Alligator mississippiensis: one gene and its partner. The protein of the gene in region 1 binds, or shares a complex with, the protein of each later gene. Links are inferred from orthologs where the notes say so. Each region holds a gene or a part of one and is shown on either strand. Other genes may lie near its edges. The genes, in order: RASIP1 and RAP1B.

The links.
Region 2: the proteins of RASIP1 (region 1) and RAP1B are in contact, whole or in part, in a crystal structure (PDB 5KHO), measured with the Homo sapiens proteins. The link is inferred for Alligator mississippiensis from reciprocal best matches to the Homo sapiens genes RASIP1 and RAP1B. Residues at the interface, in NP_060275.2 of Homo sapiens: Val147, Lys149, Ala156, Ser157, Gly158, Ala159, Asn160, Tyr161, Lys162, Ser163, Val164, Leu165, Glu181, Arg182; in NP_001010942.1 of Homo sapiens: Val24, Gln25, Asp33, Pro34, Thr35, Ile36, Glu37, Asp38, Ser39, Tyr40, Arg41, Glu54, Leu56, Phe64.

Annotation. Positions count from the first base shown.
Region 1 is NC_081828.1:74,899,003-74,908,665, reverse strand, and holds the start of RASIP1 (ras-interacting protein 1), read left to right. Parts: upstream 1-5,276; 5' UTR 5,277-5,464; intron 5,465-8,441; 5' UTR 8,442-8,461; coding exon 8,462-8,595; intron 8,596-8,834; coding exon 8,835-9,433; intron 9,434-9,663. Other genes in the region: cytochrome c oxidase subunit 6B2, read left to right, coding at 2,482-2,557, 3,473-3,601, 3,796-3,896, 4,155-4,208. UniProt on the Homo sapiens protein: Required for the proper formation of vascular structures that develop via both vasculogenesis and angiogenesis.
Region 2 is NC_081827.1:69,295,787-69,305,884, forward strand, and holds the start of RAP1B (ras-related protein Rap-1b), read left to right. Parts: upstream 1-5,964; 5' UTR 5,965-6,123; intron 6,124-10,098. UniProt on the Homo sapiens protein: GTP-binding protein that possesses intrinsic GTPase activity. Contributes to the polarizing activity of KRIT1 and CDH5 in the establishment and maintenance of correct endothelial cell polarity and vascular lumen.

The DNA of each region.
Region 1 (9,663 bases):
CACCCCAAAATATATATATACACTCCACCTCCAACACTCTGCCAAGTGGCCCTTGTGGTTCACTTGGCAGCTCAAAGCACACTAAAAACCTGTTACAGTTCACACTGCGCAACCGCGTGCCCATACACCTATCTCTATACTCATACCCCCACCCACTGCCCTCCTCAGAGGGTCTACTCCTGAAAAAGTCTATGCCAGACCCCTCTCCAGATGAGGTCTGCCATTTCTCTCCCATCATCCTCTTCTGTCTTCCTATAATACCAGTACATTTTGCTTAGTCCCATTTTAATACAGTCCTCGACTATGGGGTCTGAGTGTCTGTTTATGAACAGGTTCCTGGTTTTCCACAGTGCGTACCTGAAGCAGGATATGAACTGGTCGAAGTGAGCTGTTGGGGTCCCTTGCTGTCTGGTCAGGTGCCAGTAGAGAGCCACTTCCCTGGTCAGATTTCTGAAACCTGTCACCACCAGGAGGAGCACACGGACTTTCTTCCACACCTCCTTGGCATATAGGCAGTTCCAGAAGAGGTGGTCAATCCTTCCTGCCTGCCAGCAGCAGGTGGGCCTCAGGCAGTTTGATGGACCTCTCTGCCCTGCACTGTTTTTCTGTGCCTGCACGGGGAGTGCTTGGTGGGCTGCTTGCCAGTTCAGGTCTCTGTGCTCCTTCTGCAGGTCTTTGTGGAAGATTCGCTCCCACATGGCCTGGCAGCTCTCACCAGGTAGTAAGCCTACTGGTGATGTGGTGTCTCTTGCCCTTGCCACCTCCCATATCTTGCAGTGGTTCACCAGGGTTGCTAGGGTAGCATCGTGCAGCTTGTATTTCTCTTGAAAGCACTTCAGGATCTTGTAAAACCATAGGGAAAGCATAGTCCACAGCTCCTGTTAGTTGTTGTGTGCACTTGCCACTTGCAGCAACTGCCCTGCAAAATGCTTAACAAAGCTGGCTTTTTTAGATTCCACCCCTGTTGCCATTTTGCAAACCTGGCTCATATATTTGGCCCAGAGGAAGAGAAGGACGCGTGGCATCCCTCTGCCTCTGGACTGTTTTGGTTTGTACTGCTTGGCCCTCGCCACTTTCTCCCATGTGGAGTTCCAAAAGAAAACACACATGGCTCTCTGGATTCTGCGAACGACTTGTTCTGATGGGGGAAGACTAGAGCGGTGTGTCTAGGCAGGAGCAACGTCTTCATCAGCGCCATCTGCCCCTGCATTGACAGGCAGTGTGATTGCCATAGCCCCAGCCTCTGTCTGGCCTTGGCTTCCATCTTCTCCCATGCCCTCGGCCCCGCCAGCTCTGGGTCAAACTCCACCCCGAGGATCTTTACCCCTTCCTGGGGGATGGAAACCCCCAGGAGTGGTCCTCGAGCTTACCCAGGAAAATCTGCAATGGAAACAAAGGCTCCTCACTGCAGTGCCCTGTCTGTAACAGCAGCTTCATTCTTTGGGTGAATCTGTCCATCCCTTCTGGGGCAGTGGGCAAGCAGGGACTCAAGTTCATACAGAAGCTAAGACTGCGACACAGGCATAAGGTTACAATGGCTGAGCATGTCTGCTTTCCTTCCTCACAGCAGAAAGAAAGCGCAAGCTGCAAAGCAAAACTAACTGCATGGGATGCCAGGTACGGCTGGGTTTTCTGTTCTTTAAGCACTTGGCCACCCAAACACCCTCTCTCTAGTCAGCTCCTTGTTCAGTGCATTTGTATCTTGAAATCCAGCTGATACCAGAGCCTACCATGATACTGGGTGCTGTCTTGCCCTGCTCTGAGACCCATTGTAGACTATCCTGCAAAGCACCCATTACTGGGAACATCCCACACAGCCAGTGCTCCTGCCCCATGACCTCCCACAGCACCCCTAGCTGGGATTCAGGCAAGTTATTCTTAGGTGGTCCCTCCTGGATGATAGTGGTTTACTGTCTTACAGGGACAAAAGGATGGAGGAAGGCTTGGATGGGTGAATGCACTGCCCTGCCATGGATTTTCTATAGGCGGGACAGGCAGGAGCAACCCTGTCAGAAGAACCCAGAGGGGCCCAGCTGCTGCAAGCTCAAGAAGCCAGATAGATAGAAGCAGGACCAGTTCTCATATTAAATACTTTCACTGTGAAACTGTTACACCACTGGACCCATGGGCCGGCTGCAGGGCTTTTGGGGGAGTTGTGCTGTGAGAGGTTAGCTGCACAGGGGGCACCTGGCTGCAAGGAGCAGGCCAAAGATGGGGCATCATGCTTGGAGGAGCTGGGAAAGGGGAGCCATGTTTGGGGAGCAGAGCAGGGAGCGTCATGCTGTGGGGAGTGGAGGGGGGGCAGGTACGCTCTCCCCTCTGCTGGGTCTCAAGGGAGTGGGGGAGTCTGTATGGCGGCTTGTGGGGGGGGGGGGGGTGCTGGGAAGGTCCTGGGAATAGTCTTGTAGTGGGCTGTGCACACATGGGGGGGAAGCAGGGTGGGCGTGGGGTAGCCCTCATTTCAGAAAGCTGTGGGAAACCATGGATCCCCTGTGTGGGGGCTGGGGCAGCTGCTCGGGCATGGAGAGACGCCATCAGGACGTCATGGGGGTCTGGGGTAAGCAGTGAGGGGAACAAGGGAGTTCTGTGGTGGGGCGTGGGGAGAGCCCACGAGTTGGGCTTGTGGAGGCTGGGGGGAAGAGGGGATGTGAAGGGCCAGGGAGGGGACAAGCTGAGTGTTGGGGTAGGTGGTCAAGGGGCAGCAGTAGGGGTTGGGGGCTGAGGAGGGCAGTTGTGGGGGCTGTGGAGTCCTGGTGTGGGGGCAGGGCTTTGGAGGGAAATCGTGGGGGAGCTGAGGGGGGCCATGGTTGCGGCAGGGGGAACCCTGAGGTGTGGGACTGTAGTGAAACTGAGGACGGCGACTCCCTGCTGTGGTTGGCACAGCAGGAGCTGGTGCTGCCCTGGGCTGCTGCGCTGCTGCGCCTCTGGCAGGGATTGTTGTGGGGGGAGGCCATGTTTGGGGGGCACCTGGGTGGGGTCTTGGGGCAGGGAGCGACTGCCCCTCCCTGTGCTCTGATTGGCTGAGCAGCCCCTGCCCCCCACAAGGAGCGCCCCCCTCCCCTGCCCCCCAGAGGGTTCCATGGCAGTTGCCAGTGATGGGTGGGGCTGGGACATGCCCTGGGCTCTGATAGGCTGGGACATGCCTTGGAGGGAAAATTCAGCCAATAGGATCTGGGGGGGCTAGATCCCTCCCTGCTCCTGCACCTCAGTCAGCAGTGTGACTCCCCCAAGGCAGGGTGGGGGTGTGGGTGAGGAGCAGGGAAGGGGGCCATGGTCTTGTGGGGGAGGGGTAGGGGGGGCACAGGGGCGTCACACCCTCCCCTTCCCTGCTGGGGGCCCCGGGCCAAGGCCCTAGTGAGCATCATCAGGGGAGGGGGCTCTGGGTGGCCGGGGTGAGTCATCAGGATGCCTGGGTCCTCTCCCAGCTCTGGGGGGCAGCAGGCCTGAGCTGTCCTACCTCCTCCCTTCCCAGAATTCCCAATGGTTGGGCACAGTGAGATGCGGCCCCCAGCGGGGCCCCAGGGCAGCTACCTGACAGCGCCCTTCGACCCCCGCTTCCCCAACACCAACCAGACCCGCAACTGCTACCAGAACTACCTGGGTGAGCAGCGGCCATGTCGGGCAGGACCGCGGGGCCTTGGTGGGGGAAGGGGCTGGGAGCCAAGACACCTGGGCTCTGTTTCCAGTGCGGGGAGGAGGTGGGGGCAGGAGTGGGGGCGCGGGGGTTGGGCAGTGGCAGCCCCACCTGGTGCCCCTTGCAAGTGGTGAGGAGCTGTGGCGGGGCTGTCCTTGCAGACTATCATCGCTGCATGAAGGTCCTGACAGCAAGGGGCAGGGACACCAAACCGTGCCTGTGGTATTACCGTGTCTTCACGTCGCTGTGCCCCTTATCCTGGGTAGGTAGGGGATGAGGCAGGGCCACCAGTTCTTTGCAAAGAGGCTGCCCCCCACTCCACCACCCCCTGAGCTGGCCATTCCCCGACCCTGGATCAGAGTCACTGCTCCCTAGAAGGGAAAGGACCCTGGCCCTGTCCTCCCTCCCTGAGCCAGATCAGGTCAGGTCAGGTGCTGTGGGGGGGAGAGGGACTGCAAGGGGGTGCTTTCTCTGGGTCACCATCCCCTCCTGTCCCTGAACAGCTGTCCATCTCCCCCAGGTTCAGCACTGGGATGAACAACAGGAAAAAGGGAGCTTCGCTGGCAAGATCTAAACCCCAATGTGCCTACCTGAGGGGCAGAATAGTTGGCCATCAGCCTTGTGTGTCCTTCTCTTTGTCCTACCCTTCCAACACAGCCCTCAGTCTCTCTCAGTGGGCTTGCAATAAACCCTTGTTGCATTTCAGGTCTTACTGAAGTCTGTTTGTCTTGCCCGCCCCCCCACCCCGCTCTCAGCCAAGGACAATTCTCTTCTTGCCAAGGTGGCAGGGTTATAACAGAAGGAGGAGGCTATGGGTTCAGTCCCCACCCAGGGGACCTCCACAGCCAGCACATCCCAAATCCATCACTGGGGTATTGGGGGCAGAATGGGACCCCCTGGGTGGTGGTCATAGGCAGTGTAGGAGCAGTGAGGGAGCTGCTACAAGTCTTTGCTATGCTGACAGCCTCCCAATCACGCCAAATGCAGTCATGCACATCCTGGGTTGTAGGGAGCATGTGCACACAGCCAGCAGGCCTGCCCACTGGCAACCTGTCCAGCCCTTCAGAGCCCTGTGTCAACTATATGCATTGCATGCTTCAACATGCATGCTTTAACACACACCGTATGTCTCCAAATGCGAACTGCATGCTTCAGTACATGCATTGTGTGCCTTGCCATATGCACTGCCTCTGAACACCTCAATATGGACTCACACTACAAACCTCTCTGCAGCCTGCACTGCATACCACTTCAACTTACACACATACACAAGCAAACCCACAGGCTACACAGCACCATGACATTCACACACATGATGTAAATGGCTTCACCAACATGCAGGCGCTCTGCGCACCCTCTTGACTCTCTTATACGGATACACTGCTGACCCCTGCACAAGAACACTTGCACTTCACACTCTGACAACATGCATGCCCAACATCTCCTTGCTTGGGCTCTCTGGCCCTGAAATCCCTTTGGCTCTGCCCCTGCCCCTTCTCCCTCCCACCCTATAGCCAAAGCCCTTTGACTGGGCATGAATCTGTGCTCCCAGCCCCCGCCCTGGCGCAGAGGCTTGGCTTCCTGGCTGGCTCGCCTTTTCCTGCCCCCCACCCCCTAACTACACTGGCCGTGTGAGTGTGAAGGGAAATCCGTGCTCAGTGACACGGGAGAGCTGAAGGCAACGCATCAAGACAAAGGCTGGGAGCAAGGCTGAGGTTTCAGCCGCCACAGGGCCATGGAGCTGCCCAGGGAGCACTTGGAGGATCTCTGAGAACAGGGACTCGACCACGGTGCCCACGCTGGGCACAGCCAGATCCCGGACAGCACTGGGTAACTTCTCCCATCTATATGATTTGGGGGGAGGAGGGGTGTGAACTTTAAGGCAGGTGGAAACCCTGGGAGCTGGGCCACTGAACCTTGAGACAAACATCCCAGAGACTGTGCTGGGCCAAGCTGGGAGAGACTCAAGAGTACTCATTCCCACTTCTCTCTCTCTAACTCACCAGGCTCCATTCCCTTCCCTGAGCCTGGACAGAACCTAAAAGTGTCCAGGCTCTCAGCTCCCCTCCCTAGTAGCTGGGATGGAACCCAGGCCCCCAACCCCACCCCAGTTCTAATCCTAGACTCCACTTCCCTTCCAGAGCCATGACTGAACCCATCCTGGCTCCCATCCCCCTACTCTAACTTTAGACCCCACTGCCAAGCTGGAAAAGAACCCAGACATCCTGGCTATCAGCACCCTACTCTAACCCACCAGTCTCCATTTGCCTCCATGAGATGGGATAGAACTCAGGTGTCCTGCCTGCATAGCCAGGCCACTTTGTAGATTTACACTGGGGTCCCTGGTGCCAAGCCCCATCGCCCAGGCATGAGGACAGTGTTTGGGTCAGCTCAGATCTGAACATTCCCAGAACTCCTTCCTAGCTTATGGATCCTATAGCCCTCACACTCCCCTGCTTCAAATCCAGTTGTCCCTGGGGCAGAACATAGTTGGGTGGGAATTATAATGGGGCACACACCACTTCCCATTGACTTTTTTCTGTCCTCCCTTCCCCCCACGTTAGGTGAGAGCTCCACATTGATGAAGCAGTGGTAGAAAGGAACAAGGCCGAAAGGCATTAGGTCTGTTTCAGCCCCCATGAGGATGAGGGCTGGTGGACAGGACTCCTGGGTTCTGTCTGAGCTCAGTGGGATCCAGTGGGGTTAGATCAGAGGGACCATGAGTCAGGATTCCTGGTTTGTACTCCCCACTAGCTTAGTTCAGAAAATGAGAATTCCATTGCCAGGAACCTCTTGTGGTTTCAAAGTCTGTTGCTCCGATAGAGTGGACAGAGAGGGAGGCTTCCCCAGCAAGGCCAGAGAGCCAGTGAGGCCACTATCCAGTACGTAGGACTACCTATTCTTGACTGCCAGGTCCCAATAGGATGCAAATTACTACCTAATTATGCTTAAAGCTGACCGCTGATTTTATTGCAAAGACACAACCTGTGGGCCACAGGGGGCCCCACAGATAAGCCCCCCTTTTTGGTGTAATTATGTTTCAAACCAGATTATTTTTCCTATTTTTGACAGAATTTTAATTGCAAATTATTGTGGGTTTGCTTCTTTTTCATTCAAAATCAGTTCTTGGCCATTTTCTCCTTAGATTCCTGCTAACATTCACTACATCTTTGACAGATTTTGGTAAACCCATTTTTTAAAATCCTTCTTTGGTTAAACTGATTTTTTCCTACCTGTTTTTGCTTGCTTGAACAAAAAAGAACACATTTTTTTTCTTTTTTTTGGGGGGGGGGTGGAATCCCTTGGAGGAGCTGGGGGTCCTGCTGCTGTGACAAAGCATCTAGAAAGTGGACAGTTAATGCTCCTTGGGCTACAGCACAGCTTCCCCAGTCAGAGCCAGAGAGAAACAGGTGCCCTGGTTCCTAGATCCCCTGCTTGAACCCACTAAATTCCACTCCATCCCAGAGCTGTGGAAGAACCCAGGAATCCTGACTCCCAGCCTCTTGCTCTAACACACCAGATGGTTTAGAACAGGGGTTTGGGAGCCAGGATGTCTGGGTCCCACTGGGGTGCAGTGGGGCTGCCCCAAAGCTCCAGGCTGCTTAGGTCGCCAGGAGGAAGAAGGCTGTGTCCTCTAGACACCCATGATATGTTCACTTGCTATGGCTTCCTACAGATGTGATTGGGGTGACATAGTGGGTGTTAACTCACCCTCCCTGACAACTTCACAGGGAGGGGCTCCAAAGAGAACTCCAGGTGTCCTGGCCTTCAGGTCTGTACTTTGACCACTGGGCAATGAGTTGGTCCAGTGACTTAGAGCTGGGTGCTGGACTCATGGCTTCTATTCCAACATTGGCAGAGGAATGAACTCTGGTGGGGTCTGCGAAGGGACTGGGAGTCTGCCCTCCTGGGCTCTAGTCAGGAAGTAGTATGTAATATGTTAAAGAAGGGGCTGAGATTCTGGATTCCTGGGTTCTGTCTATGGTTCTTTGTTAGACTTTGAGCTCTCTTCTTCCCCTACCCTCCCATCAGTGCCCTGCCCTCATCTATATTCGCTCATGCTTATGGCCTCAAAAGGCTGGAAATGCCATTGCAAGAATTAAGAACAGAGATCTTTGAGTGGAAACAGAGGGGTAAGGCACTGCATGTGCGCACGCCTCTGTCTGTATGTCACTGTGTCTGTGCATGTGGCGTTGTGATTGGGTGTGTCATGGCACAGATAACTGTGTATCTGTCATTGTGGAAATGTGTTACTGTCACTGTGATACTGTCAATGTGATACTGTTTTTCTTTATCTCTGTTAGTGTGCATTCAGTGTAATTTAAGTCTGTCTGTGCATTTCATTGTGTCACTGTGTGATTGTGTGTCATGCTTATGCGTTCGTATCACAATGAGTATCATGTCTGGATTTGCATCACTGTGTGCCCTTTCTCATGATATGTGTATCACTTTGTGCGTATGTCACTGGGTGATTGTATATGTATACAACTATGTGTTACTCTGATTATAGATGCGTATTGCTGAATTGGTACATGTCATCATGTGATTGCATATGTGTCACTGTGCATGTATGTTCCTATCATTGCATATGTATAGCTCTGATATAATGTGTCATTTTGTGACTTCATCCATGTGTCCCTGTGCACATATATTGCTGCGTGATTTCCTATGTGTGTCCATGTGCATATGATCATCCTTGTGTGTGTTACTGTGTGACTGCTTATGTATGTCATTGTGTGATTACACATAAGGTTCCTATGCGTGTGGCTGTGTTGCTGCCTGTTTGTCATGCTGCTGCCTCCCGCAGGTGCTGACAGAGCTGGCACCATGTTCCCAGAGGAGCGGAAGGATGGGAGCCCGCGCTTCGGGAAACTCCACTTCCCGGTTGGCCTTTGGATCAACTCACCCAAGAAGCACTTTGCCAAGATGAGCCGCAGATGGCCGAGCGTGGGCTCTGTTAAGTAAGAGCCCCCCCATAACTGCCCCATCCCTGCCCTAGACCAGCACCATAGGCCCATCTACCCTGGTTTCCTGCCCCCCTTTGTGCCCTGCATCAACTCCACATGCCCATCTATCCTGGCATCCCACCCCTCCTTGCTCTAGATCAGACTCACCAGCCCATCTATCTCAGCATCCTAGCCCCTCCTCACCCCACAGGCCCATCTAACAGGACCCAATATTCCACCTTCTCCCTTTTCAGATCCACCTCCTCTGATACAGCAAGCCGGGGCAGTGAGACAGTAGAGCTGCGCCCACCAAGCAAGACGAAGCCAAGCCGGCACAAGCGGCTGTCTAACCTGTTCCACCGCAGTGTGAGCAGCACGGGGGTGGGCACAGCAGGTGCTGGTGGGCGCTGGGCTAGTGAGAAGAAGCTATCTGACCTCATTGACCCGGTACCCGAGGACCTGGTGGAGCTTTCAAGCCAGCGCAACCTGCCAGGCATCCTCAAGATTTTTGGTGGGGACATATCCTGTGGGGCCAACTACAAGAGTGTGCTGGCCACGCCACGCTCCACAGCACACCAGCTGGTGCGTGAGGCACTTGAACGCTATGGCGTGGCACCAGGTGATGGTGAGGAGGACACAGTGGGTGGCTACATGCTGTGTGATGTTGTGGGGCGCTTCACAGGGCCTGGCGGGGCCTGGCAGGCTGAGCACTTGCGCCCTGTGGGTGACACCGAGCGGCCTCTGGTGCTGCAGGATGTATGGAAGCCCAAGGCTGGCTGCTCGCGACGCTTTGAGATCCGGCGCCGGCGTGAGGTGGAACGCGCCTTCGAGGCCGAGGACAATGAGACAGCGGGTGAGGCTACCCCTTGTCATGGAGCTGTAGCCTTGTCCCCACTAGGATCCACCCAGAGCTCAGTCCCGTTGCCTGATTCCCACAGTCCTGGACTCACCCAGAGCCCACTCCCCAGGACCCACATTCCTGGAGTCACCGTGGTACCAGCCCCTACTCTGAGTCTCAGCCAGACTAAGCTCTGACAGGACCACAGCCTTGGGGCTCACAGTGGCCTCCATCCTGCAAGAACT
Region 2 (10,098 bases), on another chromosome or scaffold:
TCCCCAACCCTGAGAGGGACACCCCTCTCTAACACCCGCCATCCTCCTCCTCAATTTGCTAGCCTCTGCAATTCCATCCACCCCTCACTCAACCCCAAGTTACTTATTCTCGTTTCCCCATGTGACTCCTGGGACCAGAATGCACCACTCCTGGTCTATATACATGTGGCTTAAAGTAAGCCACTTGAACGTAGACTGGGTGTGGTGAATGGTTATACGCACTCCTAGGCCACATCTACACAAGCATGGATGTTTGTTTCCCTGGGGACAAGAAGCAGCGGCACACCTTGTACCTCTGCTAGTTGTCCCTGGGGAATGTTTGTGCCATGCACCCTTTGGTGCATGGCAGGTTACCCCAGGTGAGGTAGGGGAGGCTGGGGCCAGCACTGGACTGGCCCCAGCAACCTTACCTTGGGTCCAGAGGGCCTCCTGGGGCTGCAGCAGGGGCAATTCTGCTGCTCGGCACATGGGTGGCAACTGAAGTGTGGCTCTGGGTGGCCAGGCTCTGGTTTTGGGTGGCATATGCTGTGCCTGTGTGCACCACCCTTATTTCTTTTTGTGATGGGTTTTTTTGGCCCTGGCATCTCCCTTCCCCCCCCCCGCTTGCTCCTACCTTGAAGCATAGAGAACACTTGACTGTGCGGTATGTGGTACCAAAGACATGTTTGTGGTGCCACATACTGCACGGCTGCGCTTGTCTGGACACAGCCCTAAAGTGCATTTTAGGCATCTAAATCCAAGTGAATTATCCAGAAAAACCCAGCCTGACCATTAGGGGTTTTAAACCTGAAAGGTCATAAGAATCTAAAGGCACGTCTACAGCACAAAACATGGTGCTAATTAAACCACCCATGGAGCCAGGCAAGGCTACATTACTTCTAGTTTGGGAGGTAACGCACATGTAACAGCATGCAGAGCACACTGCTGCATCACATGGTAAGTCTGAGGTGTAAACTAGATATGGCCTCTCAGGGCAGTGCCCTTATCACTGGACTGCAGTCATGCTTCCTCTATATCTGGCTACAGTAATCATATTCCTTTCTGAACAGTGGCACAGATTTAAAGGAAAAGCTGGAAAAAGGCCCTGTCTCAACTAACCCTGGCAGTTAGGTTAATCTCTTGTGATGTGGGAAATGTAAGTTTGAATCCTCCCAGTTGATATGGTACTAGACATCTGGGCAAGTGCTGTACTCAATAGGTTATTAAGAGGCCTGCAACCACCACCATTAACATCATAAAAATGAGTGACACTAAGGGACCACTTGGATGTTTGAATCCAAATCCTAGTCTCATGTAGATATGCAAATCAAGGAGAGAGGAAAGATTTGAGACACGTTTCTTTCTTCGGTGCATAGGCATCCTCTCAACTCAATGAATTGCTATTGTGAATCCCATTCCTAGGTTCCTAATTCTTCCCCACTCCAGTACCCAAGCACCTAAAAGTTAGACATGGCGATGCTGAGGCCTAAATCCCTCTATAAATCTGGCTCTGTGTTCACTAATAAAACTGTTATCACTTTCTTGAGAATTGGAGTGTTTGTTCCCACCATAACACCACAATCTGCTCTCTTAAACTGAGGTTTCAAGCTAGGAATTCAGCCCTTCATTTCACTCACAAAACAAGGATTTTCCTTCTTCTAAAAGCAAAGAATCTACCCAGAAAGAGCAAGTGATATTTTCATTCCCTTTGGGACAAATTTATAGAAAGTCCACAGTAGTTAACTGGCAAGCAATTGTCTTAATATTCTTGGACACGTGGTCATTAAACTTCAGAGTTGCTTGCAAAGAACAGTGAGCACTTCTGCTATTGCCTCAAATTTTGGGGCAATCTTTTGGGCTGTCAACAGTGTGCCTTAGCGCACATGCCACCTCAGCCCCTGTATTTAGGTGTAATGAAGGTGAAATATACAGACAGCACTACATTTTGTCCTGCTACGGCCTTGCAGCTTTACTGAGAATAATAACAATAAAGTTAGAAAAGGTGCCCGGGGGTAACTCAGGGATATGCTGCTAACCTTTCATCAAGGAGCTCTTTAAGAACATATTCCCCTGTGTCCCCAAAAGTCCATCCATTTCATACTCTCCTCTCTGCCCAAAATAATCTATCAAGTCCACATTTTACCCACTGCAGACCTGAGAATACAGATGCAATGGCAGAACAGTGGTAGTATCTTACTTTGGCTGTAGAAACATGAGTTCAAGCCTTGCTCTGTGCTAAAGAAAGTCTTCAGTTGACTCAGCTGTAAATGGGCATCTGATCCTTCAGACTACATAATCAAAAGCAGTTGACTGATGCTGGCTGCCTGAACTGGCATGCTTTAGCCACATTACTTTATGGGCTGTTAGGCACAGGAAGAACTTTGACCATAGCAAATCCACTGAAGCTTCTAGTTAAATCTATCAAGATTCCCATGTTCAAATACATCAGTCTTTTCTCTCCCACCCTCTCCATGAGTCCTCCTTTCTAGAACATTATAGAATATTCCCTATATGAGCCTTGCAGTTTTTCTTAACTATAGCAATGGAAATATTAGGTAGTTTCCCTTGTAGCATGTAGTAGAAGTATTTGTAGGTAGGATGTTCTGCTGCCTCTGAGAGTTGGCTGGTTGTGTAGCAATAGATCATTTTGCTGGTTGAGTAGCAGTAGATCATTTTGAGCCCCCAAACTGAGTGATACTTAGAAAAAAAGGCATATAGGGACCTTTGGTAACAGGGAAATGAGTCTCTCTTGACATGGCACTTGCATGCAATGGTTAGGGAACATAAGGTTCTGCTTCTTTCTCAATAACAGTTCTCCAGAGAAAATATGATGTAACCCATCCTAGCAGTACTAGGGAGAAAGGCACAGAAAAAGGACATTCCCTCAGCAATAATTTATATCTCATAGTGGGTACATCCACACTAGAGCAGCTGATGGAGTTGAATATGAAACATTTAACAAGCTGAGCATTTAGCAAACAAACTGGTTGCCTCCCCCCCAAAACCTGTTCACCATGACCACAGTAAATAGAATCACAGACGGTGAGGGTTGGAAGGGACCTCAGGAGGTCATTTAGTCCAAAACCCTGCTCAAAGCAGGACCATCTCCAACTAGATCATTCCAGCCAGGGCTTTGTCAACTCGGGCCTTAAAAACCTCCAAGGATGGAGATTCCACCACCTCTCTAGGTAACCTTTTCCAGTGCTTCACTACCCTCCTAGTGAGACAGTTTTTCCTAATATCCAACCTAAACTTCCCTTGCTGCAACTTGAGACCATTGCTCCTTGCTCTGTCATTTGCCACCAGTGAGAACAGTCTAGCTCCATCCATAGAGCCACGTGCAATTAGAGCCACGCGCATGATCAGAGGTCAGGAAAACAGACCTTATGACGACAGGCTGACAGCCATGGGACTGTCTGAAAAAGCGCAGGCTCAGGGGTGATCTGATGGCCACCTATAAGTTTATCAGGGGTGTTCACCAGGATCTGGGTGAACATTTGTTTACCAGAGTGCCCCAAGGGATGACAAGGTCAAACGGTTATAAAATCCTGCAAGACTGTTTCAGGCTAGACATAAGGAAGAATTTTTTTACTGTCCGAGTCCCCAGGGTCTGGAATAGCCTGCCATTGGAGTTGGTTCAAGCACCTACTTTGAATACCTTCAAGAGAAAATTGGATGTTTATCTTGCTGGGATCCTGTGACCCCAGCTGACCTCCTGCCCCTGGGGCACAGGGCTGGACTTGATGATCTTCCGAGGTCCCTTCCAGCCCTAATAGCTATGAAATCTATAAAATCTTTGGAAATAACCTTCAGTTAGTTAAAAGGTGCTATCAAATTCCCCCTCAGTCTTCTCTTCTCCAGACTAAATAAGCCCAGTTCCCTCATAAGTCATATGCCACAGACCCTTAGCCATTTCCATTGTGTTCTACTGGATTCTCTCGAACTTGTCCACATCCTTTCTAAAGTGGGGGGCCCAAAACTGGACACTCTGGATGTGGCTTCACCAGTGCAGAATAGAGGGAAAATAATCAAGGCAGGCCTAAGTATTTTTGTGAGGGCTGGCTGAGAGTTCTCAAACTTAAAGACTTCAGTTACCTTACAAGTGTGTGGTCGGGTGAGAAAGTAGACTCAGCCTTTTGCCACAAGTGAGATCCCACCTGCCTAATTCTTCTAACTGTAGTAATATTTAGCAATTTGCTGTTCTGAGTCCACATTATGCATGTCTATACTTCTTATTAGCTGATTTCTAAGAAACTCTGTTATGAAGCTTAAAGACTCTCACAAACTCCCTCAAGCTCTTCTGTGTCATCCATAGTATAATAAAGGGGCAAGATTTAACTCACTGTAAGGAAAAGTGCTGGGGTGGGTAAGGTATTATCATAATAGAAGCTAATTTGTAACCTTAACTATAGCCATTGCTACCTTTTTGCTGCGATTAGCAGTACTTCTATCAGCACTAAGTACTGCATTTATTATTTGTGATTAGTTCACGCAGGAAAGCTGTGGATGTTTTTTAAGAGAAGGCACAGGAAATGTATTTCAGTGTTCTCTTTTAATCTATTGGATGTTTGAGGGAGCTGATGGAAATTACACAAACAGGAATAAAAGTATGCTAAAACACAAATATTCTTATTTTAAGAGTAAATAATACAAAACTAATAGTCCCAAGAAACACAAGAGTATCATTTTACTTAAAATATCTCCTTGTAAATATATCTAGTTAAGCAACCAATATCTCCCAGATGAATGATTTTTACCCTGAAAAGTGGACCAGAAGGGAGCAACTGCCTATGTACTTAATTTCTCCCTGCCTGAGTCCCCTTTAATGATCTGCCATTTATAGGGATTCATTATCCAAGTGCTGTACACGGGATTAGCCATAAAAGACCGAGAAGAAATCTTATGACACTTTGTGGAGTTTTGGTGCAAGGGCCTAAGGAAAACTATTTTTAGAAGTAAAAAGAACTTGGTGACCTGAATGTAGATAGGACACGTAATGTGGACTTAGTCACTCTGCTGACTACTTTAGCCACTTCTTCTCTACGTTTATTCTACGTTGTATGGACTCCAAGCACTACAGCAAGTAATGCGCCACTACCATGCATTTGGAGGGAAATGTAATCTTTTTTTCCCCCCTTCTCTATCTCTGCGCTACAAACAGAAAGTGTGTGCTTCCTCCACACCCACTCCCTCTGCCAGCAGCGCCATTGCAACTTCCTGTCAGTTTCTCACTGTGGCAGACTTCCTCTGAATAAGTGTTATCTGCCATGGCATATTAACTGTTTGCTCGCTACTGAGCATTTCCCAGAAGAGCTGTCTTCTTTATTTTTAACACTTACTCTTCCAACCCATTCTGATCTGGAGAGAAAAGGAGCCCTGGTGACTTTTGGGAAAAAAAAGGCATCTTCTATTATTTAATAGAAAATGAACGTATGTGGAGCAGGGAGAAGAGCCAAGACACGTTGCCGTTCTTTCCACATTAATAGATCCCCTGTGGATTTCGGTGGAGGCTGACCCTAGTTGTCAGGAGGCTTAGTAATGCAAGCAAAGAGCAATAGCGTTGTGTGGTTTCTGCTGCCATGTGGGCGAGCATCTGAGGTGCTTGAGAATCAGGGGCCTCGCACTTGTTTTTCTTACGCACGTTTCACAGGTTTTTGAGTCATAGAAGAGGCTCACATCCGTGGCTAGCAGGGGCGACCCGGTTACAGAGCAATGCTGCGGGTGTAGAATGAGGCCTTCCACCCAGGCCAGGCCAGGTCTCTGCCAGTGGGGTTCAGGACACGGGGGCACTTGCACCCATTGGGTGAGGGCCGGTCCCGCTGTCTGCAACCCTGACAGGCGATAGGGGAAGCTCTCCCGCCCGCTAGAACTAGGCGGCCGCAACACCGCCACCCCGCTGAGGGGAGGGCGCCGCGACAGCCTGCGCCTGCGCAGTGTGAGCCGGGGGTAGAGAGGTCACCCCCGCCCCCCGCGCGCTTCCTGCCCCGCCCCCAGGCCGCGCCGGGGACGCCAGAGCGAGGCTAGGCGTGTGGCGTCACGGCGGCGGCCTCGAGCCTCGCCCAGCAGCGGCAGCGAGTACGCGCGGGAGTGGCGCGTCCGGCCGGAGGCCACACGGGCAGCGGCAGCGGCGGTGCCGGCCGGTAGGTAGGCAGGCGGGGAGCGGGACCGGGACCGGGGCCGAGGGGGCCGCGATGGTAGGGGGGCAAGTGCGGGAACATGGCGGAGGCGGCCCCGGCCCGGCCCGGCGCCGCCGCCGCCCAAGTTGTAGCGGAAGCGGAAAGTTGCGAGGCGGCGGCGGGGCGGGGTCGGGCGGCGGCGCCCCGGCAGCCCGCGGCCCCGCCTAGGCTGGGCGCCCCTCCGCGGGGAGGGGCCCGCAGCTCCCTCCCGGCCGCGGGGTCCTGCCCAAGTTGCCGCGGGGTCTCCGCTCCCCCGTGCGCTATTGTGTGCGGAGCTGCGCCGAGCGGTGCCCTGCGGAGGGTCCCCCCGTCTCCCCTCCCCCCAGTCGCCTTCGCAGCCCGGATGTCGGGGGCAGCACGTCGGAGAGTCGTCGGGGCCTGAACAGACCCTGGCTCCGGAGCCCCCGCCGCGCCCCAGTGGAATAAGCCCCGGGCTGTGTTTAGGGCGTGTTAGGCTCTTGGCCAGCTCGAAGGGGGTGGCGGGCCACGAAACCTCTACCGATCTGCTGTGTATCGCCCTTTCCTGCAAGCTGTCCCTTTAAAGAAATAACGTCCGGGTCCAAAGGAAAACGCTTAAGCGTTTGTCATAGATATTGTCTGGTTCAGGCAGCTCTAACAATCTGGGTTGGGTTGTTTCTACAAAGTTTGCTTAAGTAAACCATAGAGGAATCATAAGTTGGGCTGGAACGGACCTACAGAGGTCATCATCTAGTCCAGCTTTTCTCAACTGGTAGGTCACGACCCAAAAGTGGGTCAGAAGAATATATGAAATGGTCACAAACAAACTTTAAAAACAGATTCTCCTTTAAAGGAGGAAAGTGTGGGAAACCATGCGTTTTCCCTTGCTGGCTGGCAGAGCTCCTGCCTGCAAGAGGCTGCTTGGGGCCCCCCACAGGCCCTACACAGCTACCCTTGGTTCCGCACGCTGGGGGCGGAAGGCACTCAGTTGAGACTGGCTATTGATGTTTGCAAATGGATCCTGGTCCAAAAAAGGATGACAATCACTGATCTAGGCCAAAATGTGATTGTACAGAACACCAGTCTCTTCTAGAGGAATTTTGCTGCCTTAAAGGTCTGGTTTCAGTTCCAACATGCATCAGCTCCACTTTCAAATGTTTTAGCAGTGAACTAGTGGACGGGGTGCTTTCCCAAGCTTTTTTTTTTTTTATAACGTAGGTTCACCTAAATATTTCTGTTCCAAAAAAAGATATTGGAAACTCATTTCTTAGTTATAACAAGAAATGTCCTGTAACAGAGATGCCCTAATTAAGTGTTGCTAACCTACTTGATGCATGTACTGTACAACAAATACTTGGATACAAGGCTGACACAGTTCCTTGTTATACTAGGTCATACTTCGAGGCTGCAAAGGGTTTTTCTACCCTTCAGTAAACTTCACAGTAATGGTTTCCTTAATTGTGCAATGGCTTCATGACTGACTTATGCCTTTGTTAAATGGAACCAGTGGAAGAAGTTAATTCAGGGTGCTTTTAAGTGCTTTTATCTACTTTGTTCAGGATTCTGGTTCCTTATTTCTCCTTTCACTGGGAAGAGTCTACAGTATAAAATGTATTCTTCCTTCTGGCTAGAACTGAGATTGCTAACTGATCAGTAAAATGCACCCTGGCTGCTGCTGTAACTGCTGGGTAGCAAAAACTTTGGCAGTGATATTGGCTGTTTGGTTAAAGCAGTTCATCTTCTCTAGGTTCCTGCCTATTGCAGGGACATGCCATCTAACGGTGTTAGGAGATTTCTGGAGGCTATAGACAGCCACGAGTCTTGAACTTAAGTTGTAATAGATACTGTAAGTATTCAAGCCTTGCTTGCATAATACCTCTTGCAATAAAATTGATCATGCTTAGGACTACTTGATCAGCCCTTCCCTCCTTACCCTACTCCTAGTAAAGACTAACTCAGCAATAATTTTTGACCTGTTACTTACAGGCTAGAACTATGCTATCAGTTCACTATTGCTAACTTGGAAAAAGTGTATTTCTGTCTTCAAGAATAAACCTGGAGTTTGCTTAGCAGTTTTCCTGGCTTCCCACTATTTTACATAGTCAGTCAGTCAGTCAGTCAGTCTCTCTTCCCCCCTTAAAAAGGCCTCTGTAAAAGAAACTGTGAAACTGACTTGAAAATATACAAGCTGAAGGAATAAAAGAGAAGAAAGTTATTTCCTTTCATGTGCCCTGGTTTTATATAGTGTTTGGTTCAGCTGCCAGGTCAGTATGGGCGGAAAGAGTATGTTGGATAGAACCGCGCAGTCTTTTTAGAACTCCACTGTCAGACAGTCCATCAAGACTGGCAAGGCTCACACCTACTTTAATCTCTGTTTCATGCTGTGAGAGCTTTATGTGTTAAGACAGGCTGAACCAAAAAGGAAAAGGGTCATTCTGGAGCAGTAGCTGTACAGGTACGAATCTGAGAGAGAGGGGAAATAGAACCTTTTCAGAGGATTGAGAGAAGGAAAAAGGATGTGCTGGAGTGTAGTTAGCTTAGTTAACATCTAGCAGTTCATAATGTTTACTAGGAATCTAAATGCAATCTCTCTCCTGTCATCACCGTGTGTACCTAAAGGATACTCTGTTGAAAACCCTCAGTTTGCTTCTTGTAAAAACTAAAATTCCTCAGACTGTCACAACTCTCAGTGGAAATTTCCCTGCCCTTTTTTAACTTAGAATAGATTTAGCAGTTCCTTTATTATGATAGCATTAGGTACATTTGGTGTGTGGTTGCATAGCTATTGCATGCATTTGGCATTAGGACCTATGTGCTTTGTGATCTCTGAGTTCCTGTTGAGTTAGGGCAGATACTGTCCAGCCAGATACACCAGAACCAAAGGCAGAGAGATTTTACACAATCTTCTTCCTGTTCTACAATGTTGAAGCATTATCTGAAATAACTTTCAAGTGCATGTGACGCCTCCTCTGGTCAGGTGTGTTTGAGTCAGGGCCTCAAAGACTCTCTAGATCTAGTTTTTCTATCTATTTCTCTTTTTTTAAGTTAGGTGAAATATCTTAAATGCTGTTCCAAGGAGTAAGTTGTTCAGCCTTTTCTGTGCCAGTTACTAATACCATGTTAAAGAGCATTGACTAAAACGTCTAGGATATGTTCTTAAAGAACCTTTTGAGTCTTTTTTTGTTTTTCCCTTGTGCTTATACAGAAACTGGCTGGTATCATTACAGTGGAATGACTATTCTCTTGTAGCTATACCAGTTAATTGCCATGTGTTAGACCAGCACTTAGCAAGGGCTACATGGTTGAAGCTATCTAGCGAAAATCAACATCCCTACTGAATGTATTATAGTAAAAGGCCCCTTTCCAAGATGAAGTTAAATCAGTTTTTTACAGAGCTGCTCATGCTGCGGGTGGGTTGGGTTGGGTTGGGAGTCCTTTCGTGGGACACAAAATTAATTTGTAGCTCATCTCTGTCATTCAAGAGCTGTTTTTGTTTACCAGTCTTGCCTTCTACTTTGACTCTATAATTCTTCTTACTCACCAGCTACACCCTCTGCCTGCTTGAGAACTTAAGGAAATTAGCTAACAGTTACAGGTTACTCTTTGGATTGAGTGAGGAGGGGAACCACATTCTGTGGTATCCCTCAATCTTATTTTGGATCCACAACTAGAAATCTGTATTGGAGTTGACTCTAGTTGAAGTGACTTCTGCTATGTAGCCAGGAAGAAAAAACTGCCCAGCTGAGCAGGTACATAGGGAGAAAGACCAGACAACAGATCAGGATAGCTTAGCTCAGGGGTTCCCAACCTTTTTATGCTGAGGACTGGCAGACTGTGGACCAGTAGTGACTGGCATACTGCGGGCAGGCAGCCAACCCTTTTTTATACTCGATATAAAAAAGGGTTGGCTGCCAATTTGCAGTATGCTTATCACTTCCAGTCTGTGGTTTGCTGGTCCTTGGTATGCTGGTCATTTCTGGTTCAC